7 linked regions of the Cricetulus griseus genome follow. The protein of the gene in region 2 interacts with the protein of the main gene of each other region in a biochemical or structural test. Links are inferred from orthologs where the notes say so. Each region holds a gene or a part of one and is shown on either strand. Other genes may lie near its edges. The genes, in order: Fen1, Ep300, Stat2, Rela, Sirt2, Notch1 and Junb.

Region 1 (3,767 bases), on a different chromosome or scaffold from region 2:
AAAAATTGTTAAAAGCCAGGTGCACGTCTTTAATCCCAGCACGTGGGAGGTAGAGGCAGGTAGATCTCTGAGTTCAAGGTCAGCCTGGTTTACAGAACTCAGTCCACAAAGAAACCCTCTCTCAACACCCCCACCCCACTTTCCAGCAAAGGCATTTGCCATAACACAACTAGTCCTTCTCCCCCCTTCTTTTATTTTATTTTCTTTAAAGTCCATTTAAATAAAAATATTCAGTGAAGGAAAATTCTATTTCAGTTGGAAGGGGCAAAAGTTGTGAGTGTAATTTTGGAAACACTGTCCGAGGAGCAATTTGATCCTTGAAGTCTTGAACGACAGAATTACAGTATTGGGCTGTGTGATTTCAGCTTGCCAGCCCTTAATTCAAGACCTGTGGTGGCATCATGAGGTTCATGTTTCAGAATTAGTGGTGGGGAGGACGTACAAAGGATTTAAACCTCCTCCAGCATCCTGCTAAAAACAAACTCTTAGGTGCTGAAGTGGGGAGGGATAGCAGTGTGTGAGATGGTCACCTGACCCTCATTCAGAAGCGTGTCCTTCAGGGCTGCTACATCAGTTAGATAACTGTAGAGCACAGTAAGTCATACATAGCCAACTTTGCGTAGCTGGTATTTCCAGGCTCTCGAGGGCTCACTTCTGCCTTTATGGTCTCAGGCTCCTTCAAGCCAAGCCAAGCATTCTTGTTTTCTATGGTCCTGATGCAGTTGAAAGTTGAAGTCATTCTTTGTGTGACAAATTGTACCGTTGTGTTGTTCTTAGGAGGCCTGCTCGTTAATTGGGTGCGCTGTAGATGTCTTGAGAATGATGGATGTATGTGTTCACCTTTGCATCTTCTTCTGCTTTGCCGACTTGGAGTCCTGTTGTTTTCATGTTAAATTTGATTAAACATGAAGTTAAACTGGCGATTGCTGCCAGTTAGAGCCTTTGTTCCTTTTGCCCTCCATGACCCACGTTTTTCTTGTCTTTGTTTTAGCCATCGCTCCTGTGTTACCATGGGAATTCAAGGCCTTGCCAAACTAATTGCCGATGTGGCTCCCAGTGCCATCCGAGAGAATGACATCAAGAGCTACTTCGGTCGCAAGGTGGCCATTGATGCCTCCATGAGCATCTACCAGTTCCTGATTGCTGTTCGCCAGGGTGGGGATGTGCTGCAGAATGAGGAGGGGGAGACCACCAGCCACCTGATGGGCATGTTCTACCGCACCATCCGCATGATGGAGAATGGCATCAAGCCTGTGTATGTCTTTGACGGCAAGCCACCACAGCTGAAGTCAGGCGAGCTGGCCAAACGCAGTGAGAGGCGAGCTGAAGCTGAAAAGCAGCTGCAGCAGGCTCAGGAGGCGGGGGTAGAGGAGGAGGTGGAGAAGTTCACAAAGCGGCTGGTGAAGGTCACCAAGCAACACAATGATGAGTGCAAACACCTGCTGAGTCTCATGGGCATCCCGTACCTTGACGCACCCAGTGAGGCAGAGGCCAGCTGCGCTGCCCTGGTGAAGGCTGGCAAAGTTTATGCCGCAGCCACCGAGGACATGGACTGCCTCACTTTTGGCAGCCCTGTACTAATGCGACATCTGACTGCCAGTGAGGCCAAGAAGCTGCCCATCCAAGAGTTCCACCTGAGCCGCGTCCTGCAGGAGCTGGGTCTGAACCAGGAGCAGTTTGTAGATCTCTGCATCCTGCTGGGTAGTGACTACTGTGAGAGTATCCGGGGCATCGGGCCCAAGCGGGCTGTGGACCTCATCCAGAAGCATAAGAGCATCGAGGAGATCGTGCGGCGGCTGGATCCCAACAAGTACCCTGTTCCAGAAAACTGGCTCCACAAGGAAGCTCAGCAGCTCTTCCTGGAGCCTGAGGTGCTGGACCCAGAGTCTGTGGAGCTGAAGTGGAGCGAGCCAAATGAAGAAGAGTTGGTCAAATTCATGTGTGGTGAAAAGCAGTTTTCTGAGGAGAGAATTCGTAGTGGGGTCAAGCGGCTGAGTAAGAGCCGCCAGGGCAGCACCCAGGGCCGCCTAGATGATTTCTTCAAAGTGACTGGCTCACTCTCCTCGGCTAAGCGTAAGGAGCCAGAACCCAAGGGGCCTGCTAAGAAGAAAGCAAAGACTGGGGGAGCTGGGAAGTTCAAAAGGGGGAAATAAAACGTGTCCTCCCCCTCCATTGTCCCCTGACCCCAGAATGTTTGCTTTGTGCCCTCAGCTAGAACACTCCTCTTGTGGAAGAGCCTGCTCCGTCCCAGAACTGCCCTTCAGAGCCTTGCCTTTCATACTTGGTCTTGTGGCAGGAAGGCCACAGCTTTGCTTTTCCTCATTTTTAGCTCAGGAATGATGTCAAACCACTTCTCAGGCAGGTTAATGGACACTGCATCCATTGTTGTGTGAAACTGAAAGCAACACATTATAAAAGGAGGAGGAGATAAAGATGGCTTGGGGTGGGAGTGTGGGGAGATAATTTCCTGGCTGGTCAGCTGGTGAATGGGAGTTGACAGTAGACCTTGACTGCTCTTTCTGATTTCTCTAACCTGAAAGACAGCCATCAGCCCAGGCTTTGCTGATGGAAGACCTGCAAAGAAAAGGGGCGAGCAGAGGAGGTTGGCTGACAATGGCTCTAATTCCTGACTGGCTGTCTTGTGGACACAGCAAGTTTAGGTTTCTGGTGAGTCTACAGTAACTTCAGAGCAGTGAAAAAGCAGTGTTTTAGGTTTTGAATTGTAGTTTTGTTTTTGTCCCATTCCCCTCTCCAGTGCTGGGAATTGAACCCAGGGCAAAGCAAGCAAGCATACCACTGACCTGTAGCCCCAAGAGACACTGTTCCAATGGCCTTTCTGAGGCAATCAATTGAATTGAGGTTTTGAGAGAAGCTGTTGTTCCTGTGCTGTTTCTGTTTTAAAAGATGCGAAGAGAAAAAAAAATCAATAAAAGTACAAAAGTGACCAGAATGTGGTGTTCTTTGAGGATATTTGAAAACACCCTTAGTGCTTCCGGTTCCTGTAGAATATAATGATCTTTTGCCACTAAAATTAGATGACAGGCTGGGATTGCCCTGGTTAACAAGTAGTTTGTTTAATAAGAGTGACCACAAAGTGGCGCCATACACCATGTAATGTGGGCACAGCAGCTGTGGTTGGCACCAGCCCTTTGCACTTCAGGAGTTTGAATGCCTAGACTGGATTTCTCTTGTTCCACCTAGTCTGTGAGGTAAAGGAGTCCATTTGGACAGTCTTGTAATTTAGATAAACTTTGTCATAACATCCAGGCAGTTTGTTTTGCCACTTGGTGAACAGATGCCATTTAGAAACCTTGCTCCTATTGAGATTTCAGGTTCTCAGGATGACTGCAAGTTTTAGAGTACTGGTGCATTAGGTTTCTCTTGAGGAACCAAGTAGATAGAATGAGTTCTATATATTGAAAGGGGTTCATTAGAGGAGCTTACAGGCTGTGTCCAGTTAGTCTAACAATGGGTGTCTGGTAAAAAGGCCAAGAATTTAGTAGTTGAGTCCACAAGGGATGTTTCAGCTGGTCTTCAGTCTACATGAAGGCTCACAAAGAAGCAGGTTCTAATACTAGAGAAGGAATGCCTCAGGGACACTGAGGGTGTACAGGCAAAAAACAGAAGCTTCCCTCCACATCCTTTTGTGTGGGCTGTCACTGGATTGTGTTGGGCTTCCTCAAATCCTCCACACAGGTGAGCCCAGCTGCTTGGGTTTTAGTTGATTCCAAATGTGGTCAAGTTGACAACCAAGGTCAGCTATCACA
Region 2 (4,062 bases):
TGACAAAGGGCTCACTTTCTGATTTTAATTCCCACTTTGCATTAAGCACTGCCGGCTAAACAACAGAGCTGTCACTATTCTTGCTAGCTATGTTACTTTTCCAGCTGCAGATTTATTGAGAACAAACTTGACCAAATAGAAACAGAATCAGACTCCTAAGAACACAGAAGAAACTTATCAAAGTAACCATCCAAAAGATGTTAGTGTAAGAGAGGTGTTCAACACAACTGAAAATGTCCTCTATGAGCTGCTGTGGTAGGCGTGACTACACTACCAGCACTAGGCAGGATGAAGAACGAAGGTCTTTGAGGTAAGGCTGGGATACAGAGAGATCTCAAGGACAGTCTAAGCTACATAGTAAGTCCCTGTTGAGAAATAAGTAGAACCATACAATGAAATCTAAACCAATCACCAAAGGCAGGGCTCTATTAATGACACCAATATTTAACAATTTAGAATTGAGACCTGATCTACCCCACCCCTCTCTCCTTGGGTTTTTCAAGACAGGGTTTCTCTGTAGAGCTTTGGAGCCTAGCACTCGCTCTGTAGACCAGGCTCGAACTCACAGAGATCCACATGTGCCTCCGGGAGTGCTGGGACTAAAGGTTCTAGCCACCACCACCTGACCATAATTTTTATTTTTATTTTTTTAAAAGATTTTATTTAACAACATTATGCTTCCATGTATATCTGCACACCAGAAGAGGGCACCAGATCTCATAGAGGATGGCACCATGTGGTTGCTGGGAATTGAACTCAGGACCTTTGGAAAAGCAGTCGGTGCTCTTAACCTTTGAGCCATCTCTCCAGCCCCTAACCAAAATTTTTAAGTTACATTTTTATTTATCTTTTGTGCATTTGTGTACAAATGCCCATATGCCAAGGCATTTTATGGAGGACAAAGGACAATTTATAGGACTTATCACTTATCTTTCCAGCACGGCTGGTGTATGTGTATACGTGTATGTGTGTGCACATACATGCATGAGCCTGTGTTTGTAAACCAAGGATCAACCTTGGGTGGGTATTTTTGTTCAGAGGTCAATGACCTTTTTTTAAAAAAAAAAACAAAAAAAACCCAAAAAAACCAAAACAAAACATTTTTTGATACTTCATCTTATGTGTTAGTATGATGTGTTAGTATTATTACCTAAAATTATGTAAAATGTGTGTGTGTGCTGGAGCCTGAGGAAGATTGAAGAGTGTGTTTGGTCCCTGGAACTAGAGTTACAGGTGGTTATAAGCTGCCATATGGCTGCTGGTCAGTGAATTTGGATCCTCTATAAGAACAGTTTTAAATACTGTTTTGTTTATAATTTTTTTTATTTCTTGTGCATTGGTGTTTGGTCTCCATGTATGTCTGTGTGATGGTGTCGTATACTATGGCAGCTGTCAGCTGCCATGTGGGTGCGTGAAATTAAACCTGAGTCATCTCTTCAGTCTCGGTTCAGCACTCTTGACCCTCTCCACTCTCTGTTATCCTCTGCTAGAACCCTATGTCCTTCCAAGATCTCAACTTACTAGGCAGCAAGCTCCAGTGATCCCCCTGCCTCTAACTTTTCCAGTGGTTGGATTATAGGTGTGCCAAAATGCCCAAGGTCTCACTGTCTACCTCAGCCTTGTCTGGAATTTGCTATGTAGTACACAAGGCTGTCCTTGAATTCAGAGATTCATTTCCCTCTGCCTTCTAAGCATTGGGATATATATACAAGTGCTAGGAAACAAATCCAGATGTTTATTGTTTATGGGGCAAGCATTTTACCAAATGAATGATCTTCCCAGCCTTCACTTACTCTTCTTCTTTGACTGTCCAGGAGCTGGGGAGGACTGCGTAGCAGAGGTACTTGGCTGGTCTTCCTCCTCTTTTGTTTCAGGTTTTAACTCAGTGCCTCTGTCCTCTGTTTCTGTAGGTTCCACTTTAACATCTTCAGCTTTAGCCTAAAATATAAGACAGGAATTTTAAAAAATTCAAAGACTTACACCTGGGAACAAGACCATTATCACCTTATTTACGCTCCATTATGGACATACATGAATTTCCTTTTATAGCAGAACCTAATTGCTCTAGTCTCACCTCCTGAGTATCTTCAGGTTGAGCATCTGCTAGTTCAGGTTGATCCACCTCCATTTTAACCTCCATTTTTACTTCCTGTGAAGGTTGCTTCTCGGGAATGGTCTGAGAATTCACTTCTGTGCTACTAGTAGATGGAGGGTTTGATACCTGGCCTTCAATGCTTACAGTTGGCTGAGAAAGCTGGAGAGAAAAAGGTAAAGCATACACATACACAAAAGCTTGCCAATCATGGAATCAGAATTTAAATTTAAATTACACAAGGCTATTTATATTTGGGGCACTCTCACTGAACCCATTTTATTATTATGTTTTCTCTCACAAAGATCATTTTAAGAATGGATGATATGGGACTTCCCAATGCTAGCTGGCTAGCTTTACTTGAAACAGTTACCAGCTTTTTTGTTATGTGTTTAGGGGTGGATGTTCTAAAGTTGACTATATCAGAGAGGCTCAGAATATTAAAAAAATGACATCAGGGACTATGTAATAGCTCATTCATAAAGGCACCTGCTATCAAGTCTGACAACCGAGTTTGATCCCTGGTATTTAAATGGCAGAAGAGAACTAACTCCTATAGTTTGTTCTCTCTCTCTCTCTCTCTCTCTCTCTCTCTCTCTCTCTCTCTCTCTCTCTCGTGTGTGTGTGTGTGTGTGTGTGTGTGTGTGTGTGTGTGTGTGTAAAATCGATGTACCCCACATAGGTCTTTACTTTCATTTTTCAGCACTGCAACTTAAGCTGTTTCACCCCTGCCCCCCTTCTTTCCTTGCTTTGTTTTTTGAGACAGGGTTTCTTTGTGTAATAACTCTGGCTGCCATGGAACTTGCTTTCTAGACCATGCTGGCCCCAAACTCAGAGATCTCACTGCCTCTGCCTCAAAATATCTTTAAACAAGTACATGTGTATGTGTTACACTAAGCATTGATAAAACTCTTATAGCTTTCAGGCCTCAGATAATCATTTGAAACAGAATGGTCAGTGAAAATTAACCAAAATCTTCTAGCTTTCTCTACCAAAGGAAGCAAAAACAGGCAACAAACACCCAAGTCTATGAATAAAACAAGCAAAGATGAAACAAAAGTGAAAGAAAAAATGGTATAGAAACATCACTGGAGCTTAACTGGTCCTATGGACACTCCAAGACACATCTGCTTACGTACTGGAGTTGAAGGCTGAGGTGGCAACAGTGGTGCTGTTGGGGTAGGAACAGGAGCTGCAGTGCTCTGCTGTGATCGAGGCTGTTGCTGGGACTGGTCAGCAGGAGCAGCAGGAATTGAAGGTTGTACTTGGGAAGGAAGATGTGTTGGTGGTGTTGGTGTCTGTCTAGATGGGGGGTGTAGAGCTTGGGGCTGTGGTCCAGGTGGTATGGCAGGAGGTGTAGGAACAGGAGCTGGAATTGCTGTTGCTGGTGGTTGCTGAGTCCCTATGCTTGGGGGAGTATGATGAGGAGTAGGGGTACGACTAGGAACAGGAGAAGGCGAATTCTGATGAGCTTGTTGAGGCAGAGTGGAACAGTGAATATGGCTCCCTTGAGACCCTGGAGGCATTATAGGAGAGTTCACTGGACAGGAAGAACTGGACATTTGTGCCTGGTAAAATGAAAAAACATACAGTATTAACAAAAGCAGGTCATGTAGTATTTAGAGCACACAGTAGTTATTAATAAATAACAGTAGCAAACTTCTTTATTTCTGAGATGAGGGTCTCACTACATAGACCTGGCTAGCCTTGATCTAACAGATATCCATCCACCTGTCTCTGTCTCCAGGAACAAAATTAAGTGTGCAGCCCTGGACACAATCATAGTTTTCAAAGAAAAAAGGAGGGTACCTTTAAAAATCATACAGGGTTAGAAATAAACTATTTTTGAACATCATTGGATGCCACACTAGTATCAGTAGGAAATAGTATTTGCCATTTAGGCCTGGAAACATGAGCACAATCCCCAGACTCTATGTAAGGGTAGAAAGAGAGAACAGCCCACATATACT
Region 3 (4,732 bases), on a different chromosome or scaffold from region 2:
CAGCCTGGTCTACAAGAGCTAGTTCCAAGACAGCCTCCAAAGCCACAGAGAAACCCTGTCTTGGAAAAAAAAATGTTTCAATTATACAATTAAAAGATACAGAAAAGGGGCTGGAGATTTGGCTCAGTTTTTTGTTTGTTTGTTTGTTTTTATTTTTTTGGGTTTTTCTTTTTTTTTTTCCGAGACAGGGTTTCTCTGTGGCTTTGGAGCCTGCCCTGGAACTAGCTCTTTAGACCAGGCTGGTCTCGAACTCACAGAGATCTGCCTGCCTCTGCCTCCCGAGTGCTGGGATTAAAGGCGTGGGCCACCAACGCCCGTCTTGGCTCAGTGTTTAAGAGCACTTGTTGCTCTTTTAGAGGAGGAGTTTTTGATTCTTAACACCCACGTGGCGCTAAATTCCATTCCTAGGGGATCGATTGGATGGATGCCCTCTTTAGACTTCTGAGAATATCAGGCACTTAGGTGGTATGCCTACATACATATACACAAAACTCAAAAACATAAAAAGAATCTTTAAAAGACACAGAAAATAGCCGGGCTGTGGTGGTGTACACCTTTAGTCCCAGCACTTGGGAGGCAGAGACTGGCAGATTTCTCTGAGTTAGAGGCCAGCCTGGTCTACAGAGTGAGTGCCAGGACAGCTAGGGCTGTTACACAGAGAAACCCTGTCTTGAAAAAAAAAAAAAAAAAAAAAAAAAAAAAACAAGATACAGATTACATTGCTTCTATTCTCGGTTTTGGTTTCTGTCCTTTCTCTCTAAAGATAGTTCTTATTACAGTTTACTTTAGTTTTTCCAGGGAATACTATTAAATAGTTGTCATATGTAGTACTTTTTGTTTACTAGTAACTTTCAAGACCTGAGCCTGGTGGCACATGCCTGTAATACCAGCACTTAGCAGTTGGAGGCAGGAGCATTAAGGGCAGGCTCAGCTACATAGTGAATTTAGGTCAGGCAGGGCTGCTGTGGATCATTTGTTGTTGTTGTTTTGTTTTAAAGGTTTTATTTATTTATTATGTCTTCTGCCTTCATGCCAGCAGAGGGCACCAGATCTCATTCAAGGTGGTTGTGAGCCACCATGTGGTTGCTGGGAATTGAACTCAGGACCTCTTGGAAGAACAGTCAGTGCTCTTGACCACTGAGCCATCTCTCCAGCCTGTGGATCAATCAGTTTTTGTACACTGTGAATATGTATTACCCTCAATGGTTAATAAAGAGCTGACTGGCCTATAGCTGGGCAGGAGAGCCACACTAGGAGAATGCTGGAAAGAAGGGAAGAGTCTTAGGAGTCGCCAGCCAGATGCAGAGGAAACAGGACGTGTACAAAATGAGGTAACAACACATGAACTGCACGGCAGTAAGTAAAGGAATATAAATGGGTTAATTTAAAACATAAGAGCTTGTGGAGTTTGACTTTCAGGATGTTGTGAGTCTCCCAGTTTGGGTGCTCAGAACTGAACCCCAGTCCTCTGCAAGAGCAATGAGCTCTCTTAGCCACTTAGCTGTCTCTCCACCCACCAAGAGCCAATTTTTCATTTTAGCTTTCTAATAATAATCCTTGACCGCCCCTTGCTGGAGATCAAACAGAGGACCTCTCTTGTGCTCTGTGAATGCTCTAGCTGAACTACATAACTACAACATCAGACAGGTATTTGACTCTTTTATTTATTTATTTATTTATTTATTTATTTATTCCAGACAGGGTTTCTCTGTGTAGTTCTGGCTGTTCTGGAACTCACTCTGTAGCCAGGCTGGCCTTGAACTCAGAGATCCACTTGTCTGGGTGTTAAAGGTGTCAAGAGTGCTGGGGTCAAAGGTGTGCACCACCACCACCACGCCTGTATTGCTTTTAAGAAACAAAAACATTGCTGTGCGGTGGTTGCACAAGTCTTTAATCCCAGCACTTGGGAGGCAGAGGCAGGTGGATCTCTATGAGTTTGAGACCAGCCTGGTCTAAAAGAGCTAGTTCCAGGACAGGCTCCAGAGCTACACAGAGAAACCAACCCTGCTTCAAAAAACAAACAAACAAACATCATTTTAAAGACAAGATCCCAGTTCTTCAGGAATTAAAGGACTAGTATCCAAGCAAGGGAACAAGTAAATTCTGAGATTTAAATAAGAAACCAAACATAAGAGAAAAAAAAAGTTGCTGGCTGTGGTGGTGCACACCTTGAATCCCAGCACTGGGGAAGCAGAGGCCCAGCCCGGTCTGCACAGCAAGTTCCAGGACAGGCAGGGCTAAACCCTGCCTCAAAACAAACAAGTCTTCCTAAGTGGACTGTACTGCGGTTATGGGAGCTGCAAAGTGCTTTCTCTAGCTTCACCCTCTCAATTTTACACTAAATAAAATTTTCTGAAATAAACTAGACTGTGTGTGTAACCTTAAGCAAGCAGTTTCATCTCCCAGGACTTTACAGTTTATATTTGTATATATATTTGATATATATATTTGATTGTATGTATATATGCATATATACATACATAACAAATAAGGATGTCCGTGTTTTCATTTATTTATTTATTTTGGTAAGGATAAAATATTATGCAAAGGGGCTGGGAACACAGCTCAGCGGGTGAGAGCTCTGGCTGCTGTTCCAGACGACCCCACTGGGTTCGATTCCCAGCTCCCACATGGCAATTTATGACCAGCATTCCAGTCCCAGATCTGACGACCTCTTCTGACCAACACAAGCACTGCACGGATGTGGCACACAGACAAAGCATGCTTACAAATTAAATAACAAACAGATGATAGACAGATAACGCTTTGGCTTATGACAAGGGTCAAATGCTGCATGCCAGGCTTCAGGGTTTGCGGAGGAGTTTTGGAAGAAGGTCGACAGGGCTGAAAAGTAAAAGCAAAGCGAGGGTGTGACATCCCGGACAGGGGCATCCCGGGGGCAGTGGCCCTTCCCGAGATCGAACTCACGCCTCCCTGCTCCGCACACGCTCTCCGGGCCTGTACCTTCTGAGGCTCCGGTGCCGCTCCTCCCAGTGGCTCCCGCGGCAACTTCCACTCCTCCGGGCGGCTCAAGAACCCCACCCCGCCCCTGACTTCGGCGGACCCAGACCGTGATCACCGGGCCCTACGGATTCGCCGTTCCGGGCTCTGGCTGAGGCTCGCCCACGCCCTTCCCACGTCACGCCCTCATTGGCGGAGTCCTGGCCCCGCCCACCACCGGGCTGGGCGAGCTGCTGGAAACCACACCGCCGAGCTCCGTGTTTGGCGAAGAGGCTCCCAGAGGGGCGGAACCCAACTAATGTCATACCCAAGAATTCAAGCAGCTGACTTTCCCGAACCTGCACTCCCAGGAAAAGGAAACGAAACCAGAGCGTGCAGAGGCACCAAGGACTCCGCAGAAGGGGTGGGACTTGCATTTCGATACTTTAGGTAGGGAGGGAAGAGCCGAGGCACATATTTTTGAGGACATAATGATAAATACCATAGGATCGTGTTATCAGTTTTTAATTTCCATAACCACTTGTTCAGGTGAAAACTCACTACTCCCTCATTAGAAACATAAAAAACTGAGTTTCAAGAAATGACTGGCAAGTGATGACAATACCCCAAACCCATCCATCCATCTATACTACTCCTTCTCTGTCAGAATTTTCCATTTATTTGTTGTTTGTTACTACCTCTTGTATGCCCAGATACTGTAGTCCTGTTCCAAGGCTTGGTCCCAGTAGGAAAATGTACTTTCAACTTCTGACACCAAAGTAGTCATGGTTGTTTCTTCGAAGTCACGGTCTTCCTGCACGGTCTCCGGCAGAGAGAGGCTCACCTCTTTCTCGTCATAATAATATCGGATCAGCTGCTGAACCCCAGCCTTCAATGCTGGCTTAAGAGTAGCACTTATCACCACACCAGCCGGCCCCCCTGACACACCCACCATGGCCATCAAAAGGTCATAACCCAGATCTAAGGCTCCCTCTTTGCCTCGCTCCTTGGCCTTGTCGGAGCAGTTCTGAATGGCATAGTACAATGCTGTGCCTAGATTGTAGTAGGTCCCCACTGCCGGCAGCAGCCCAACCACACTGTGCACACTCTGCTCCCGCTCATTGTCACAGGCTGCGTTAGAAAGAGAGCGTGGGACCCTCTTTGGACCTGGCTGCTCCCAGGCTAAGAGCTGCAGAGCAGAAGATAAGGCGTCTACCGACACTTGCTGGTCCTCAAGTCCACCTTTCTGGAGCTCTTGGAGATGGTGGATGAGGGCCTGTGTAGCCTCCACACCTCCCAGTCGGTAAAGCTGCCGCTGCAGAGCCCAGACATCAGCCTGGCAGCCAGCTTCCTCCAGAGCGTTCCTCAGAGCCAGGCCTACCAGGAACTTGGGGAGAGGGGGCATGTGAGTGAAGCCAGGCAGGGACTTTGGGAGCAGGACCTGGCAGGACAAGGGGTCTGAGGAGGGCAACTGGTATCCCAACGCCAAGGGAGGGAGCATCGCAGAGGGACTTGTTGGCTCTCTGTGTGAAACGGCATCCACAGGACACAGCAGGAGGCAGCAGAGCAGCTGAACTGCCATCATCAGGAGTCGCAGGCTGTGCATGTCTGGAGCAGAGCACCCTGGAAAAAGGAAAACCCCAAAACATGCAAACCATTTCACTGAAGGCTATAGTCTTAAAGGAGGCCCAAGATTCAGGGGACACCACCACCACCTACCTCCAACCTTTTTTTTTTTTTTTTTTTTTTTTTTAGTAAAGGAGTAGGATATGGGAAATGCAATTCAATTTCT
Region 4 (4,062 bases), on a different chromosome or scaffold from region 2:
GAAGCTTCCAGGATGCCCAGCAGCCTGATGGGAAGTGGCTGTTTTCCATATCTTGTGTAGAGATGCTGGTCTGCCAGGAACTGTGCTCATGACTTTAGGAAGCAAACTCCCAGGAACCAGATAATGCTAGGCAGTGATAATTCCACAGTAGCAGCTCACAGGAAGCTCTCAGATGACCTGGGCTGACACTGATGGATTAGTAAGCAGCAGGGCAATTGAAAATAAAAGGCCTTTGGAGCCCCAAGGACCGGAAACCAGGATTAACTGGGAGTGAGGAGGGAAAGACTCATTGCCAAGGGTAGAGATGAACCAAAAGCTGAAAATGTGTTTGATCAGGCAGAGGGAGACAAGGTGTCAGATTGTTTCCTTTGGGCTGTAAGGTCTGTGAGGACAGGAATACGTTGGGCTCTTTGTTGCTCTGCTGCCTTTTCTAGAGCCATGCTCCACACACACAGCAGGAGGTGTTTTTGAATTGGTTGAGGTGAAGAGCAGATGGGATTAGTCTGCAGAAGTGTTGTCAGCAAGCTGTGGAAGGAAGACCTTGACATGGGACTTGCCAGGCATCGCTGTTACATCTCCTGTCGGGTGCCCTGGAGACCTGTGGTGGCTCAGGGTTTCCATCCATGTCACATCCTCAGGTGCACCCAACACTGCTGAGCTCAAGATCTGCCGAGTAAACCGGAACTCCGGGAGCTGCCTTGGTGGGGATGAGATCTTCTTGCTGTGTGACAAAGTGCAGAAAGGTACACACTGGGCTATGTGTGCCACGAGGGGCGGGGTGAGGCTGAGAGGGTGATGAGTGCCAGGGACCTCAGTGGCTTCAGGAGAAACAGGGTGACGTCTCAGGGGAAAAGCATCAGGAGTTGGGGACCAAGGTCCATTGGAATTCAGATACTAACCCTTACTACTCTGTCTCCTGCAGAAGACATCGAGGTGTATTTCACTGGACCAGGCTGGGAAGCACGAGGCTCCTTTTCTCAAGCTGATGTGCACCGGCAAGTGGCTATTGTGTTCCGGACTCCTCCATACGCTGACCCCAGCCTGCAGGCTCCTGTGCGTGTCTCCATGCAGCTTCGGCGGCCTTCTGATCGGGAGCTCAGTGAGCCCATGGAGTTCCAGTACCTGCCAGACACAGGTGTGATGCTAGGGAGAGCAGTACCAAGGCTTCTGTACCCCAGCTGGGAAAAAGACCAGGATGTCTGGGACAAGCACATAGGATTTATACATACTGTAGTTCATTGCACATAGTATTTCTGTCAAAGACCACATATGCCATGGTGGTCATATAACACTGCGCTATCTAGCTGGGCAGTGGTGGCTCACCCTTAATCCCAGCTCTCAGAAGGCAGAGGGAAATGAATCTATGAGTTCGAGCCCAGCCTGGTCTATAGAGCTAGCTCCAGAATAGCCAAGGCTACACAGAGAAACTCTGACCTGGGGGAGGGGGGTGAGGAACTACACTGTCTAATGACATAGGTGTCTTAGTTTGTGTAAGTAATCTTTGAGATGCTCATATAAACAAAGAGAGAGAGAGAGAGAGAGAGAGAGAGAGAGAGAGAGAGAGAGAGAAAGAAAACCAGGGCTGGAGAGGTGTCTCAGAGGTTAAGGGCACTCTTTGCTCTTCCAGAGGTCCTGAGTTCAATTCCCAGCACCCACACACATGGTTGCTCACAATCATCTATAGTTGGATCTGGTGCCCTCTTCTGGCATAGGTCCTATGTGCAGATATAGCACTCATATTCATAAAATAAATCTTTAAATTTCAAGAAAAATAAAAAAAAAGGTAAAACCAGCACCTGGGAGGCAGAGGCTAGCAGATGGATCTCTGTGAGTTCTAGGCCAGCCTGGTCTACAAAGTGAGTGCCAGGATAGGCTCCAAAGCTACACAGAGAAACACTGTCTTGAAAAACAAAACAAACCAAACAAAAAAGATGAAAAAGATGCTCATATAATAAGCTGGGTACTCCAGCAAACGTGTGTAGCTAGCGTGCAGATGGTGTGGAAATAGACGGACCTCTAGAGCTATTTGGCCAGCCAGCCTTGCTCCAGATTCAGTGAGAGGTACTGTCTCAAAAAATGAAGTGGGCTGGACATGGCAGTGCACACCTTTAATCCCAGCACTTGGGAGGCAAAGACAGGCAGATCTCTGTGAGTTCAAGGCCAGCCTGGTCTACCTTACAAGTTCCAGACCAGCCAGGGCTATATAGTGAGATCGTATCTCAAATAATTAAGGTGGATGGGGCTGGAAAGATGGCTCAGTGGTTAAGAGCACTTGCTGTTCTTCCAGAGAACCCAGGCTTCATTCCCAGCACCCTGTCTAGTTCCACGGGATCTGACACTATTCTGAACTCTGCAGGCACTGGGCATGTACAAGGTGCTCACACATATAAGCAGGCATTGAGCCTTGGCTTTGACATACTCATACACACATCTGTACACACATGCATGCACATTCATACACCTACATGAACACACACACACAGACACACACACAGAGGTAATAATAAAATGGATATTCATCCAATGACAAATTTGCCTAGCAACATGTCTTAAGATGTGTCCCCATTGTTTTTTTTTTTTGAGGGGGGTGTTTGAGACAGGGTTTCTCTGTGGCTTTGGAGGCTGTCCTGGAACTAGCACTTGTAGACTAGGCTGGTCTCGAACTCAGAGATCCACCTGCCTCTGCCTCCTGAGTGCTGGGATTAGAGGCGTGCGCCACCGCCACCACCACCACTGCCAGGCTGTGCCCCCATTGTCAAGCAACATATAATTATAGTCATAATCTATTTCTTCCCTAACTCTGACATCCAACTTATTCAGCTCTGTCTACTGTATCTACCCTTCCTATGAGTGGTCCTTTTAACCTCTCATCGCCTTTTTTGTTTTTGTTTTTGTTTTTTTTTTTTTTTTTTTTTTTGGTTTTTTGAGACAGTGTTTCTGCTCTGAAGACCAGGCTGGCCTCACAGAGATCCGCCTGCCTCTGCCTCCTGAGTGCTGGGATTAAAGGCCTGTGCCACCAATGCCTGGCGTATCATCACCTTTTTAGGGGAATGATTTAACAGAATTCACTAGCAGTAGAGGCAGTGGCACACCTAAACCAAGGTCACTTAGCTTTGTGGACTTTGTGCCACCTTGTGTCTCTTATCACTTTTGGGGGACCAAAATAGTTCCATTATAGAATGTTTTGAGGTCCAGCCTCTGGTTTCACGGAAAGCTCCGGCCCACTATTGTATTGCTAATGCTAGCAGGTCTGCTATTGTTTACAATAGCCTTAGTATAGAATGCCTCCTAGTTTGCATCTCTATGGGCCTAAGCATCTGAATAGGCCTGCATCTGGGCCTAGGTGCTAGGTGTAAGGTACAAGTGAGGACAGACAGGAGCCATCCGACCAGAGAGGAGAACAGAAGGACAGCAGTGGTCTCCTCGTGGCCATGGAAGCATGGTTAAGAAACAGCCAAAAAGATGGTAAATAGAGAAGAGACTCCAGTTTTACAACATGGAACTGAGAGCTCTCTAAAGATGACAAGATGCCTGTGTTTGGTCTTTATCGAGGCTGGGTTGCTAGGAGTTTCCAGGTCCACACATCCCCACTCAGGCCGAACCTCATGGCTTAAGGCTGAGACATGCCAGGTCACCACAGTCACTAATCCTATAACCCAGCTTCATTTTGCTCAAGGATTAGTGCTATACATAACAAAACAAATGAGACAGGAGCTGGAGAGATGGTTCAGTGGTTAAGAGTACTGCTTTTCCAGTGGACCCAAGTTTAATTTTCAGCACCTAAATGGAAGCCCACAACCATATGTAACTCCAGGCCCGTGGCTTCCGAGGGCACCAGGCATGCACATGGTGCATAGACATACAGCCATACACACATAAATAACTAAACCGGGGGAGGGGTTGTTTTTTGTTTTTTCAAGGCAGGGTTTCTCTGTGTTGCTCTGTCCTGGCACTTGCTCTGTAGAGATCCACCTGCCTCTGCCTCCCTAGTGCTGGGATTAAAGGTGTGCACCACCATGCCTGACTGCTTTGTTTTAATGAGACAGATTCTCTGCTGTTGAC
Region 5 (3,453 bases), on a different chromosome or scaffold from region 2:
TTGGCAACCGAGACTGCCAAGGCCTAACTCGCCCCTCCAGGGGAGGCCTTAGTCCTGGGCTGGAGAGAATATACACCAGGAAGGGGTGTTGCCTGCCTGTGACACAGGTGCCAGGAGACACAGTCACTTCATGTGCCACAGCTTTTTGTTATAGTTTGTTTTTCTGTTTTGTTTTTTCAAGACAGGGTTTCTCTGTGTAGCCCTGGCTGTCCTGGAACTCACTCTGGAGACCAGGATGGCCTCGGCATTACCATTCTAGTACATGTCACATATCAAGAGCTAGAGAGCCTCAAGTCCCTCCCTCCTATGCAGTGGCCAATTGTTTGTATGGAGCCCACACATCCTCCTGATTTGCTAAGCGATGTCTGCCTGGTTTGTGGTGGGACACAGGGTTGAGCTCTGGCTCTCATGAAGCCTGTCCTCTCAAACTCACCATGTAATGACGGATGGCCTTGAACTCCTAGTCTTCCTGCCTCTGACTTCCAGATTCTAGCAGCTGGCTATGTTATTTAGTTGGGGGGAGCTTTTTGTTATTGTTTGTTTTTCTGTTTTGTTTTGTTTTTTTTCAAGACAGGGTTTCCCTGTGTAGCCCTGGCTGTCCTGGAACTCACTCTGGAGACCAGGATGGCCTCGGACTCAGAGATCCATCTGCCTCTGCCTCCCGAGTGCTGGGATTAAAGGTGTGCGCCACCACCACTGGCTTTGTTTTGTTCTTTCAAGACAGAGTTTCTCTGTGTTGGGCACTCGCTCTGTAGTCTAGGCTGGCCTCAAGCACAGAGATCCATCTGCCTCTGCCTCCCGAGTGCTGGGATTAAAGGTGTGTGCCACCACCAACCAGCAAATGTTTAGAAATTTGATATCACCATGTCCCACCTCAGCCAGCAACTGCTGACAATACAAAAAGAGAGGTGACCAGAGGTGACGTGTTTGGTGGATGGAAGGAAGGCTCTGGGAAAAAAAGCTCAAATCAAATGATAACACCCTCCAAAACAGATTCTGATTAAATGTATATGACAAATCTCAGTTGACAGGAAACACAGGGGACAAAAGAACACATGAAATCACACAAGAAGGCATGGTGGCATGTTTTTGCAATCCCATACTGGAGAGACAGATTGGTGGATCCCTGGGGCTCACTGGACAGCCAGTCTCACAAATTGCAAGTTCCAGGACAATTGAGAAACATTGTCTCAAAAGGAATATGCTTGAGCTGGGGATACAGCTCAGTGGCAGAGTGTTTGCCTAGTATACACAGAGACCTGGGTTCAAGCCTCTGCACTGCCAGAAAAAATAAATAAATAACAATGGTTTTGGACAGGAAAGATGGCTCAGTGGTTAAGAACACTTTCTGTTCTTCCAGAAACCTGAGTGCAGTTCCCAACACCCATGTCAGGTAGTCACAACTACCTCTAACTCCAGCTCCTGGGAACCTGATGCCCTCTTCTATCCTCTTTGAGCACCTACATACAAAGGGCACACATACAGAGACATACACACAACTACATACACTTAAGAAATAAAAATAAGCCGGGACGGTGGTGGCCCACACCTTTAATCCCAGCACTTGGAGGCAGAGGCAGGTGGATCTCTGTGAGTTTGAGGCCAGCCTGTTCTACAAGAGCTAATTCCAGGACAGTCAGGGCTACACAGAGAACCCTGTCTCAATAATAAATATTAGCCAGGTCTGGTGGCTGCAGGGCCATGCTCTTAGCTGTCCTCTCCCCACAGACAGATCCCTTCCTGGGCATGATGATGGGCTTGGGCGGTGGCATGGATTTTGACTCCAAGAAAGCTTACAGGTAAGGCCTGGGCTCTGGTGGTGGAGAGAGCTTGGGGAGAGCAGGCTGAGGTGGGAGAGAAGACAGAAGGCTGGTCAGGCCTCAGCCCATTCTCTAACTGCTGCTCACAATGCAGAGATGTGGCCTGGCTTGGTGACTGTGACCAAGGCTGCCTGGCCCTGGCTGACCTCCTCGGATGGAAGGTGAGGAACTGGGCCACCCCAGCCCACCCTGAGCCCAGCCCCATGAGGATGTATGGTAACCTCTGACTTCTGTGACCTTTGCCCCCTGCAGAAGGAGCTGGAAGACCTTGTCCGGCGGGAGCATGCCAGCATAGATGCCCAGTCAGGGTCACAGGCCCCTAACCCCAGCACTGCCACCTCCCCTAAGAAGTCCCCCCCTCCAGCCAAGGAGGCGGCCAGGACCAAAGAGAGAGAGGAGCACCAGTGACCACTACCTCCCAAGCAGGACAGTGGAGCCCAGCCAGCACTGGTCCCTCTAACATGGAGCTGGTGTGGGGCTCAGTAGATCCTTCATTCTCTTAACCGCTTTCTTGAAACCAGGGTCCCCAACTCAATCCCAGAAAGTTCTAATATACCTGAGGGCTGAGGCCTGTGCAGCCCACAGCCTCTAACCACCCAGGGCTAACTCCTAACTACTTCCAGAGATCAGGTTACCCCAAAACTCCTAACTGTGCCAGAGTGCTCTCAGGGGGTTGCTGTGGCTAAATCTAATTAACCTGCCCCAATGGGGGCTGAACTTCTCTAGTGAAATGTAACTTCACCCAGGGGGTGGGGCCTGTGGGATCCCTGAGCCTGAAGGCCTCCCAACTCTCGGCCTCCAACAGACAAAGTGGGTGCTGGCCTCCCTTTCCTAGGGTCCCACTTGCCAGCCAGTGGGGGATGAGCAGGAGACCTTGTTTATTGGAAACACATTAAAAAACAAAACAAAACAACTAACCATGAGCTGTGTGGTCTGTGCGGGTACCAGCAGCAGCTGTGGGGAGGGGAGGGGTCCGTAAAGACACCAGACCAACAGTCTGTGGCTCCAGGATCCTAGGATAGTGGAGGGGGCAGGGGCAAGAGGATGGCCCCTGAGGACGGTGGTCTGGTGACTTTTCACCTTGGCTTTTGGCCTGCCAGAGGTCCACTCCTCCAAAAGGGGAGCCCTTAGCTGATCCCCGGAAAGGGAGAGGAAGGTGATAGCAGACGCCCCCAGCCCCGCCTCTTCCCTTGCATGTCGGCTTCCTCTCTAGAGAACACTTTCGCTTCCTGCTTTGCAGACTCCCCTCGGAACAGGTAGGGCCCCCAGGGACCCAGCATCAGGCTTCTGCACCCACAGCAGCCTCCATGCCACCCTGGCCAGCACCACCCATGTCTGGATCTCCTCCCAAGGGTCCTGGAGGGGAGGAGCACCTGCCTTCCCCTCTCCACCCAGACATGTGCCTATCCTGCCCCCCTGACACTGAAGCCTCATGTCAGCGGCTAATTGATTTATATTACTTTTAATTATCTGGCTTGCACACAACACCCTAACAGAAGTGGAACCTTCTGGAAAGGGCTAGCCCACTTATCAGCCCTCCTCCCAGGCCAGTCACCTAATGCTGGGCCTATGCTGAATAATTCATGTGGACAGATGGGGGGTTGGGGAAAATATTCAAAAGGGCTCACCCTGA
Region 6 (4,745 bases), on a different chromosome or scaffold from region 2:
GCAGAGTTTTAAGTCTGTGAACTCTGCACAGCTAGCCAGCCCTTCCTTCTATGGAAACTGCTCTCTGGGGCTGCAGATCTGTTATATAAATATTTCTGCAGCACTGGGCGCCTTTTCTTCTGGGTACTGGCCCCAGGCTGTTACACACACACCCACTTGATGCCAGCTTCTGAAAGGAGCAGGAGAGGGGGCTGGACAATGGGTCTGCATTGGCCCTCTTGAGTGCCCTCTAGAAACAGGTGTGTCAAGGGCAATGGGTAGGGCTGCAGGAGAAATGAGCACACTTCTGTATCCCTGGGCAAGGACTGCCTTCCAAATTCTGAATTCCCAAATTCCTTTGACTTTCCTGTCTCAGTATTCTCCTGCCAGGTTCCAGCAAGCATTTAAGGCCCCTTTATGCATTCCCCTGCTCTGAGAGCCTCCTTGGATAATATAAGCTGGGGCTGTATCCTGTGTTGCACTCACCATCCTGTTTAGGGATGGAGAGGTGCTGTCCATTCCAGATTCCATTGAACTTTGATTGCACAGGGACAAGGAAGGCATCTTGGACACCCAGAGCTAATCAGCTTGTCACAGGATGTCCAAGTCTAGCACCAAGGTGGAGAGATAACTGGTCAAAGAAAAGCACGTGAGAGAGGCTGTGCTGGTGTTAGCAGTTATTGTACTGGGATTCTGTACTTTCCCGGGTCACCTTAAATGGGCAGAGCCAGGAACCAGTGAAAAGAGTGACAATGGAGCGTCTAGACTCCTTCTGGGGAGCGAGAGCGCAATTTGTTCAGAAAGGCACTGGCCCTTTGGGGAGTTCCCTTGGGGAGCCCCGAGCTCCGTTCTGTAGAGGCTGCAGGCGCGAAGACATTATCCTTTAAGGTCAAGCGTTCCGGAAGTCGCGGCTAGGGGTGCCTGGCCTCAATCATCCAGATGCCTAAAGCCGAGACCAAAGGCTCCCAAAAGTGGGACCCCAGGGCCAGGGATGCACCCAACGTAGTCAGGGAGCAACTTCTAAAATCCTGCTCCGGGAGTTCCCCAAACTTGGCTTCAGCTGCTCCTAGCCCTGGGCCCAGACCTAGCTCCAGGATGGACCCGATTCTCGTGGCAGCTTCGCCTTTCCTACTCAGCCCAAATCTCTTCGGCTATTGAAATGCAAATCCTGGCCAAAAGGTCCCGAGGGAGGCGACACACAAAGCCTGATCCTTCCGCATCCCCAGCTCAAACTTTTGGTCTCTGTAAACTTTCGAACAAGAAGTAGTCCCTAAGTGCCTGTTCTCTACACCCCTGCATGTTTCCTTGTCTTGCAAACCACAGGGTCCTGGCTTGGGACGCTCTCTCTAGCCCGAGAAGGCGCAGAGCCCACCAGGGCGCTGGGAGGGACAGGGCCAACGAAGGGGCTTTGAGTGCTCAAAAACCGGGGGCGGAGCGCGGTGGGATGGGCGGGGCAGGGGCGGGCCCCCACGGGGGCGGAGCGCACGGCCGCCCTGAGCCTCACTAGTGCCTCGGCCGCGGGAGGGAGCGCAGGGGCGTGGGGCGCAGGGCGCGGGCGCTAGGCGCGGGTGCGAGCGCAGTGAAGGAACGACCCGGGGTGCCTCGTAGCGCTGGGGAGACCCTGAGAGCCCAGCGCCGCCCACCTGCCAGGAAGGAGAGGGCAGCAGTAGGTGGACGCCCGCGGGACCGCCGGTGGTGAGCGTAAACGTCCGATCCCCGCCGGCCACCGCAAGAGGCCGCCGCCCGGGCAGCGGGCAGCGGGCGAGCAGGCATGCCGCGGCTTCTGGCGCCCTTGCTCTGCCTAACGCTGCTGCCCGCGCTCGCCGCAAGAGGTAGGCGCCTGCGAGCCCGCAACTTCGCGCGCCCTTCGGAAACTTCGGCTGCGCCTTGCGCGCGCCCTGGGTGGATGGGAGTGAGGGCACCAGCTACCAAAGTTGGGAGAAGGAGCCGGCGGACGGGACTTGGGGGCCTGGCGTCCTCGCGTGTGAGGGAGATCCTTCTCCTCAGCCCCCCTTCCGGGTGGATTCGCTTTACCCAGAACGCCCGAAAATGTTGGAAGCTCGGTGTGGAGCTTGGGACTTCGGGGCCCCGGGAGGCTCAACCCTGGCTCGCACTTGGGCAGCCGCGCCTGGGGCTCGCCGCGGGGGCGGACAGGCTGCCTGCGCCTGCTACTTTTCGATTTGAATCGAATCGGTTTTGGTTTCCTGTTGCTTCTTGGGACTATTATTTTCTTTCTTCTTCGCCTCTGGTCTGTGCTTGGGCGGATGTTGGGGCTCTGTGTTCGCCTTGCTTAGCGCGAGGTGGGGGCGATGTGCCCTGGACTCCCAGTGCCCAGTTTCGGGATCGCTGTCCCCTAGCGGTACTCAAACTTTCAAAGAGGGGCTATGGGCAGGCGGCTTGCTGCTTAGGGTTGGGGTGGGACTCACTCACTTTGGAAGTTTGAGACTCCTGCTCAGGCAGAGACTGGAACCTGCGGGGAGGGCCGGGGGGCCGGGGGGCCGGGGGGCCGGGGGACCGCCTATTTCCTTGCAGGATTCACAGAAAGGGGGACTCCTGAGGAGTCTCGTAGTGACCAACTGCACCCGTCTCCCAGTAATTGGAGGGGAGAAGTGCCTGCCCTTCTCTTAAAAGTGGGTTTTATGTGACACTCCAGCTCGGCCCTCACACCAGGGCTTAATTTCTGGAGCTCCTTAAGATGGGGGTGGGAGGGGCTTGATTAAGAGCCCTTTCCTGAGAAGAGGGTAGAATTCCTTCCAAGTGCGGGCTCTAAGACCCCCTCCCTGGGTGCGGCGGGGGCTGCCCCTGGAGATGCCTGCGAACAGGTATTGGGTGTCGGAGGAGGCGGGGCAGGTCTCCGGGTGCGGCCCCGCTGCCCCAGGAGGCGGCCCTGGCGCGACAATGGGCCGCTCTGATTCCCGGGCCGGCGCTTTGTTGGAGGGCGGGGTGGCGGGCTCCGCAGCTGTCGCTTTTTCCCACGATCGGGGGAGCTGAGTGTGGCCGCCCCCTCCCTCCTGCAGCCCCCTCGTATCTTGTGTTTGAACTGAGGCAAGGGTGGGAGACTGATCGGGGGCTTTGCTGGGTTTCTTAATCCACACCCACTTTTGGCTGTGTATGTAAGAAGTTTAGAATGTCCCAAGTCATTCAGTTCTTTCTGTTGCGGTCCACTTCTAGTGAGTGGGGATGTACACCTGCCTCCTACCCAGCTTATTATCCCTCTTCCACCCATTTCTGACTGCAACAGTGCGAGCAGAACATTGATCCCCGAAGGGCTGCCCATTGTCACCACCCCCGCCTGGCGACTTCCAGTAACTCTAGTACACAAGCACCAAGGCAGTAGTCTTCATCCACCATCAGGACCACAAGGAGTCAGCTGCTCAGAACCCAGACTGACCTCTCTTCTGACCCTTCCCTAGGCTTGAGATGCTCCCAGCCAAGTGGGACCTGCCTGAATGGAGGGAGGTGCGAAGTGGCCAACGGCACCGAAGCCTGTGTGTGAGTACCGCCCCCGAGGGGACCTGTTGCTTTTGTCAGAGCAGAGCCCCTGCCTTCTGGGGACAGAACACTGGGCCATTGTCTTCAGAAGACAGCCCAGAGGCTGAGTGCAGTCACGTGCTGACTTTTATTGGACAAAGTCTGGCAATTACTTAATCACCAGCAATTATGCCTCGTGTGGAGCTACTCTGGCCCCTGGAGGTTGGCACACTCCTCCATGGGCCCCCTCAGGCTCCTGGGAATCCATGGTACCCTAATTCTTATTTAAAATGCTTGAGAAACCGTTGTCTTTGATGGGCAGTCTGGAGCACTTACTGAGAGTTTGAGCCCCACCCCCTGACACCTGGGAGCCCTCTTCTGGGCAGGAGACCAATAAGCAGGAAGTTGCCCCTTTTTTGTTGTTTTGTTTGTTTGTTTCTAGTTTTTGCTTTCTTGGGACAGGGTCTCACTATGTGACTCTGGCAGCCCTGGCATTCACTATGCAGAGACCTTTGACTCAAGAGATCTGCCTGTCTCTGCCTTCCAAGTGGGAATGCCACCACTAGCTGGTGGGAAGTGTCTGTTTTAAGATGAGACCCACCCCTCCTTTCTCCTTGGGTTCAAGGTGAGGTTGGGAGAGTTGGAACGGTGCTTGTTGGCACTGCTGCCTGGGTGGTGGGTGTGGGTAAGCACTGGAGTCTGGTTTCTCTCTTGGCAGCTGCAGCACCACCTCCCGACTCTATGCCAGAGGTCCTCAGCCTCAGGTCCTCAGCTGTGAAATGGGCGTGACTTGGGGGGGTGGGAAGGTCTGTTCCTTGCTGGGAAATCCTTTTGGGAAGGATCCCTGCCTGGCTGCCCACAAAGACCAGTCAGCCAGGAGAAGTCTCCACTGGGGCTGGAGCTAGGGCTAGGGCTAGGGCTAGTGCCCTTCAACTTGAGCTCCTCCCTGATGAGACTAGCAAGGTGCTGGAGGCTAAGGCCTCCCCTGGAAGCTGCCGACAGAAACGGCTCCAGCCTGCATGGCGCGCCCTCATTCCAACTGCTGAAGGGCCCATCCCCTTGACAACGGGTGCTGCTGCCTACAGTACCCAGCCTGTGGGCCGCAGCCCCACCTCCCTGGCCGGCCCGCCCTGTACTGAAGCCAATTAAGCAGGTCTGTGAGCAGTTTATTGGACAAAGCCGATTGTGCCTCTGTCAGACACTAATGAATGCACACTACTTTTTTTTTTTTGCTTTTTTTGGGGGGCCCCTTTCTCCCCCTGCAGAAGCCTCACGGACGCTTGATGCCCTAAATC
Region 7 (4,215 bases), on a different chromosome or scaffold from region 2:
TACACTTTACTACTTAATTATTCTTTGACTCCGCCCGAGTAGCATGGTTTTCTTCGCGATGGGGTCCTCCAGCTTCAGGACCAGCGAGGTCCCCCCCAGCTCCAGCAGCTTTGAACTTCAGTCTCAGCCTTTGGGGAGCGGCCCGGCAGGCACGAAAGGCTGCGGCGGCGCCCAGCGGCCCAAACAACTGCCCCGACAGGACCAGACCTGGCAGTCGCCAACTTCTGGCCTGGCACACGGGAGGGGACCCTGGCAGGCGGGCGCCGCCCTTCCTGGCGGGAGTTGCCCCGACGGCGGCGTCTGCACTCCGCCGCCCGCCCCGCCGAGGCCGCAGTTGGGCTCCGCCAGGGTCAGGTCCCATGGAGGGGGCGTGGGCGCGGCGGGTCTCCGGCGCCAGCCTGTTGAGAGACGCTCGGGTGGCTCCCAGGGCCCAGGAGAGCGTAAGTCTCCCGCCGCGGGCACCCTGGACCCAGGCCTGGGGCTTTCCGCGCCCCGAGAGCCGCCCGCCCGGGAAAATCCCGGCCCCTTCCCGGCGCCGCGGCCCTGCCGGGCAGAGCTGGGGGAGGGGATTCCCGGAATCTGCCCGGAGACCGTGCTGGCGTCACTGAGCAGAATAGGCCCATATATGGGCATCGCTTCCGGCGCGTCAGCGGGGAAAGCCCCGACGCGCTGGGCTGGGCGGGGCTGCTTACACATTCCGCGTTTGGTCCCGGGCGGCTTCTTCCCGGCTGTGGCCCGCCTGCCCCGCGTCGGGTGCCGGGGCGCGGCGTGAGAGGTCTGCGTGCTTGCACTGGACCTTAAGTCACCTGAAAGGAGGGAGCTACGAAAGCGGACGACTGGGGGCATCCCGTTCTTCTCCCTCCACCCGCCCGGCTTGGAAGAAAAAAAAAGACCACAGAAATTAATAAAGACAATTTTTTTTACTTAAATAGATTCAATAAAAAGTCAAACACACACACACACACAAACACATCTTAAAATAGACTCTAGACACGAAGTGCGTGTTTCTTCTCCACAGTCCTGTGCAGAGGGGGAGGGCAGGGGGCGGAGGTCCCTCCCTAGTGTCCCGGCAGGCTGAGTACCAGGCGGCGGGGCCAGCTCCGCCGCGATAGCGTAGCCCCCTTCTCCCTCCCTGTTAAATACACAAATATATTATATTCAATATGAATCCGGTCTCTTCCCAGAAAAAAAAAAAAAACATACAAAATACGCTGGAAGGGGGGGCCATGTAAACGTCGAGGTGGAAGGACTGGGCGCAGGCGAGCGAGCCAGAGTCCAGTGTGTGCGCGGCGCTCCAGACCTCCGGGCCGGTGCCCATCGCCCGCCCCCCTCACCCCAGGGGGGGGCGGGCGTCCAGCCTTCCCGGCCGGGGTGTCCGTGCGGGGCGAGCGAGGGAGGCGCTCAGAAGGCGTGTCCTTTGACCCCCAGCAGCAGCTGGCAGCCGTTGCTGACGTGGGTCATGACCTTCTGCTTGAGCTGGGCCACTTGCTCCCGGAGAAGGCCGGCAGTACTCGACAGCCCCGCATTCTCAGCCTTGAGCGTCTTCACCTTGTCCTCCAGGCGCGCGATGCGCTCCAGCTTCCGCTTCCGGCATTTGGTGGCCGCCAGCCTGTTCCGCAGCCGCTTTCGCTCCACTTTGATGCGCTCCTGGTCTTCCATGTTGATAGGGGACACCGGCGGGGTGGCGTCGCGGCTGCGTGCCTCTGGTACGGTCTGCGGTTCCTCCTTAAAGGCGGAGGCGCCGCGACCCAAGCCCAGCTGTGCCGGGTGGCCGCCCGCAAAGGGTGGTGCGTGTGGGAGGTAGCTGATGGTGGCCGTCGGGTACGAGCTCCCAGTCCCGACGGCGGCCCCGGCGCCCCCAGAGGGTGCGGAGGCTGGGGAGTAACTGCTGAGGTTGGTATAGACGGGGGGCGGCTCTGGACCTGCGTAGACGCCCCCTGGCCCGGCCTGGGGACCCCCGCTGGCGCCCAGGGACACGTTGGGGGGCGTCACGTGGTTCATCTTGTGCAGGTCGTCCAGGGCTTTGACAAAGCCGTCCGCGAAGCCCTCCTGCTCCTCGGTGACGCCGCCCCCTGTGCCTCCACTGCTGCCACCCCCACGGGGGTAAAAGTACTGTCCCGGAGGCGTGGGCGTCGTCGTGATCACGCCGTTGCTGTTGGGGACGATCAAACGCTCCAGTTCCGTGGAGGCGAGCTTCAGAGACGCGCCTGTGTCTGATCCCTGACCCGAAAAGTAGCTGCCTGCTGCCCCGCTGCCCTCTGGGCCCGGGCCGCGCGCTCCCGGGCCCTTGAGACCCCGGTAGGGATCCGTCAGGTTGAGTGCCAAGGTGGGTTTCAGGAGTTTGTAGTCGTGGAGAGACAGGCTGCCAGGGGTCCGACCGTATCCCGCCGCTGCGTATGAGTCGTCGTGATAGAAAGGCTGTTCCATTTTCGTGCACATCCGGGCGGTCTGGGAAAGGTCCCCCTGAAGGGCCGCCCCAGGCCTCGCTGCTGCGAGCGGCGAGCTGTCCTCGGCTGCGGCGGGACCCGGTGTCCGGTCGCGCGTCCTCGGGAACTGGAGACCGCCGGCGGCGGCCGGTTGGCAGCTGTGCGTAAAAGCGTTGCCGGGCTTCCAGACCTCGTCTCTGCCTCTGTGGTGCGCCCGCTTTCTCGGCGTCGCTTCCTTCAGTTCCCCGCTGCCTGCAGGATCCAAAACCGGCCCGGCCACCCTCAAGGTCCCCACCGCGCTGCCCCAGCCCCAAGCTTTTATACCGAGTTTGTCAGCTGCGGAAGTGCGCTCTGATTGGCCAACGCGGGAACCGGGCCCCCGCGGCCCCCTCCTAGAGCGTGGGGAAGGGGAGGAGGCGGCTCGCGTCACTGTCAGGAAGCGCGTGTCCTTGTAAACAGCGGCCACGAGCCGGGTGGCTCTGCGCGGCTGCAGGGGGAGGGGCTGCAGCGATGGAGACGCCGAAGCAAAGGGATGTGGAGGGGCTGAGGCACACGGGTTAGGACTGCGGGAGTACACCTCGGTGACTATGAGAGCTTGGCACAGCAAGCAGGGAAGGGGGCGCCGCGGGATAAGCCGGAGAAGTCTCGAGAGACCCAGAGTGCCTGTAGCTGAGAACTGACAATATGCTAGAAGACCCCAAGCAAGCAGGAAAGGGAGGATCGGGAGGGATCTGTTAACATTTGACCCGGGGATTGACTGGAGGTCCCAGATACAAAGGGCTTGAAAGACTGGAATTGTCACAGGTTGGAGGAAGGGGCGCCTGTTGTGCAAGAACAGTAGGGTTCTAGAGGCCGTTGATGAGTCTGAGGGTTCTCCTATAGGCGGAAATGAGAAGGAAATGCGGGGAGGGCGACGTAGATATGCAAAGGTGAGAAAGGGTCCTGGGTGCACTGAGGTAATACAAGAGGTGGAGGATGGGAACATGTCACTGTGGCCACCTGAAGAATTCGGATGTAGAGTTAGAAAGGTCAGGGCACAGCTTCCGAGCTTTGAGATCTGCTGGGGAGGATGATCCCAGAGACAAGGGACCTGTACGAATGGGGCTGTACCTCGTGGGTGGTCCTTAGGCACCTGCATACCCTGTACTCCAAGCCCAAAGTCCTCCCTTAGTCACTCTGGGCTCACCCGATACCCTGTCAGCTCTTGGAGAGCCGACGGGGCAGGATAGCTGGGGCGCGGTCGCCCAACCTCACTCCCTTCCTTAGAAACAGACTAGGGAAAGAGAGCCGAGGCAGGAAGTGTGGCAACAGCCCCGAGGGGAAAAGAGCCCGGCCCTGTCTCGTCATTCTGAGCCTACAGGACGGTGCACCCTGCCCTGGGCCCTGCCAAATTCTGCTCCTGGGAAGAGGAACCGGGGCAAGCGACCCCCGAGGAAGTCACAGCCCAGCTACAAACGCCTCGAGTCACTCTCTGCTCTCACCCATCTAGTAATGGTTCAGCCTGCAGCCTCCGACGACTACTAAGCCTGGCAGCCCGAGGACTGTTCCATTGACCCTGGGGGGGGGAGATGCAGCCTGAGAACCGGGCCTCATCACCAAGGCAACAGGCCGGAGTCCGCGAATTGGATTCGGGGCGGGGCAACCCCCCTCAATTTCTCCCCAGCATCCATATTAGGGCACAGGAAGAGGTGGGACCAGTACAGTCTTGGGGCGGAGAACTAGGAGCCAGGAACTCAGGGTGGCAAGCCAGGTCCCAGGGCGCGCCCGGGCCCCCCAGACGGCTAGTCCG

Evidence for each region.
Region 1: of the proteins of Ep300 (region 2) and Fen1, one has a biochemical effect on the other in vitro, tested with the Homo sapiens proteins (2 studies listed by BioGRID, with this or other methods). The link is inferred for Cricetulus griseus from reciprocal best matches to the Homo sapiens genes EP300 and FEN1.
Region 3: the proteins of Ep300 (region 2) and Stat2 form a complex in vitro, tested with the Homo sapiens proteins (3 studies listed by BioGRID). The link is inferred for Cricetulus griseus from reciprocal best matches to the Homo sapiens genes EP300 and STAT2.
Region 4: the proteins of Ep300 (region 2) and Rela form a complex in vitro, tested with the Homo sapiens proteins (6 studies listed by BioGRID, with this or other methods). The link is inferred for Cricetulus griseus from reciprocal best matches to the Homo sapiens genes EP300 and RELA.
Region 5: of the proteins of Ep300 (region 2) and Sirt2, one has a biochemical effect on the other in vitro, tested with the Homo sapiens proteins (3 studies listed by BioGRID). The link is inferred for Cricetulus griseus from reciprocal best matches to the Homo sapiens genes EP300 and SIRT2.
Region 6: the proteins of Ep300 (region 2) and Notch1 form a complex in vitro, tested with the Homo sapiens proteins (2 studies listed by BioGRID, with this or other methods). The link is inferred for Cricetulus griseus from reciprocal best matches to the Homo sapiens genes EP300 and NOTCH1.
Region 7: the proteins of Ep300 (region 2) and Junb form a complex in vitro, tested with the Homo sapiens proteins (2 studies listed by BioGRID, with this or other methods). The link is inferred for Cricetulus griseus from reciprocal best matches to the Homo sapiens genes EP300 and JUNB.

What each region holds. Positions count from the first base shown.
Region 1 is NC_048596.1:50,252,011-50,255,777, forward strand, and holds the end of Fen1 (flap endonuclease 1), read left to right. Parts: intron 1-991; 5' UTR 992-1,010; coding exon 1,011-2,153; 3' UTR 2,154-2,950; downstream 2,951-3,767. UniProt on the Homo sapiens protein: Structure-specific nuclease with 5'-flap endonuclease and 5'-3' exonuclease activities involved in DNA replication and repair.
Region 2 is NC_048595.1:378,772,708-378,776,769, reverse strand, and holds part of Ep300 (histone acetyltransferase p300), read right to left. Parts: intron 3,661-4,062; coding exon 3,232-3,660; intron 2,255-3,231; coding exon 2,075-2,254; intron 1,939-2,074; coding exon 1,794-1,938; intron 1-1,793. UniProt on the Homo sapiens protein: Functions as a histone acetyltransferase and regulates transcription via chromatin remodeling. Acetylates all four core histones in nucleosomes. Histone acetylation gives an epigenetic tag for transcriptional activation.
Region 3 is NW_023276806.1:129,600,864-129,605,595, forward strand, and holds the start of Stat2 (signal transducer and activator of transcription 2), read right to left. Parts: upstream 3,131-4,732; 5' UTR 2,965-3,130; intron 1-2,964. Other genes in the region: Apof (apolipoprotein F), read right to left, coding at 3,635-4,546. UniProt on the Homo sapiens protein: Signal transducer and activator of transcription that mediates signaling by type I interferons (IFN-alpha and IFN-beta).
Region 4 is NC_048596.1:53,703,926-53,707,987, reverse strand, and holds part of Rela (transcription factor p65), read left to right. Parts: intron 1-638; coding exon 639-743; intron 744-922; coding exon 923-1,135; intron 1,136-4,062. UniProt on the Homo sapiens protein: NF-kappa-B is a pleiotropic transcription factor present in almost all cell types and is the endpoint of a series of signal transduction events that are initiated by a vast array of stimuli related to many biological processes such as inflammation, immunity, differentiation, cell growth, tumorigenesis and apoptosis.
Region 5 is NC_048602.1:7,082,092-7,085,544, reverse strand, and holds the end of Sirt2 (NAD-dependent protein deacetylase sirtuin-2), read left to right. Parts: intron 1-1,728; coding exon 1,729-1,799; intron 1,800-1,914; coding exon 1,915-1,981; intron 1,982-2,072; coding exon 2,073-2,228; 3' UTR 2,229-2,737; downstream 2,738-3,453. UniProt on the Homo sapiens protein: NAD-dependent protein deacetylase, which deacetylates internal lysines on histone and alpha-tubulin as well as many other proteins such as key transcription factors.
Region 6 is NC_048599.1:137,892,219-137,896,963, reverse strand, and holds the start of Notch1 (neurogenic locus notch homolog protein 1), read left to right. Parts: upstream 1-1,498; 5' UTR 1,499-1,750; coding exon 1,751-1,811; intron 1,812-3,392; coding exon 3,393-3,471; intron 3,472-4,745. UniProt on the Homo sapiens protein: Functions as a receptor for membrane-bound ligands Jagged-1 (JAG1), Jagged-2 (JAG2) and Delta-1 (DLL1) to regulate cell-fate determination.
Region 7 is NC_048596.1:159,386,059-159,390,273, reverse strand, and holds Junb (transcription factor jun-B), read right to left. Parts: upstream 2,739-4,215; 5' UTR 2,440-2,738; coding exon 1,402-2,439; 3' UTR 902-1,401; downstream 1-901. UniProt on the Homo sapiens protein: Transcription factor involved in regulating gene activity following the primary growth factor response. Binds to the DNA sequence 5'-TGA[GC]TCA-3'.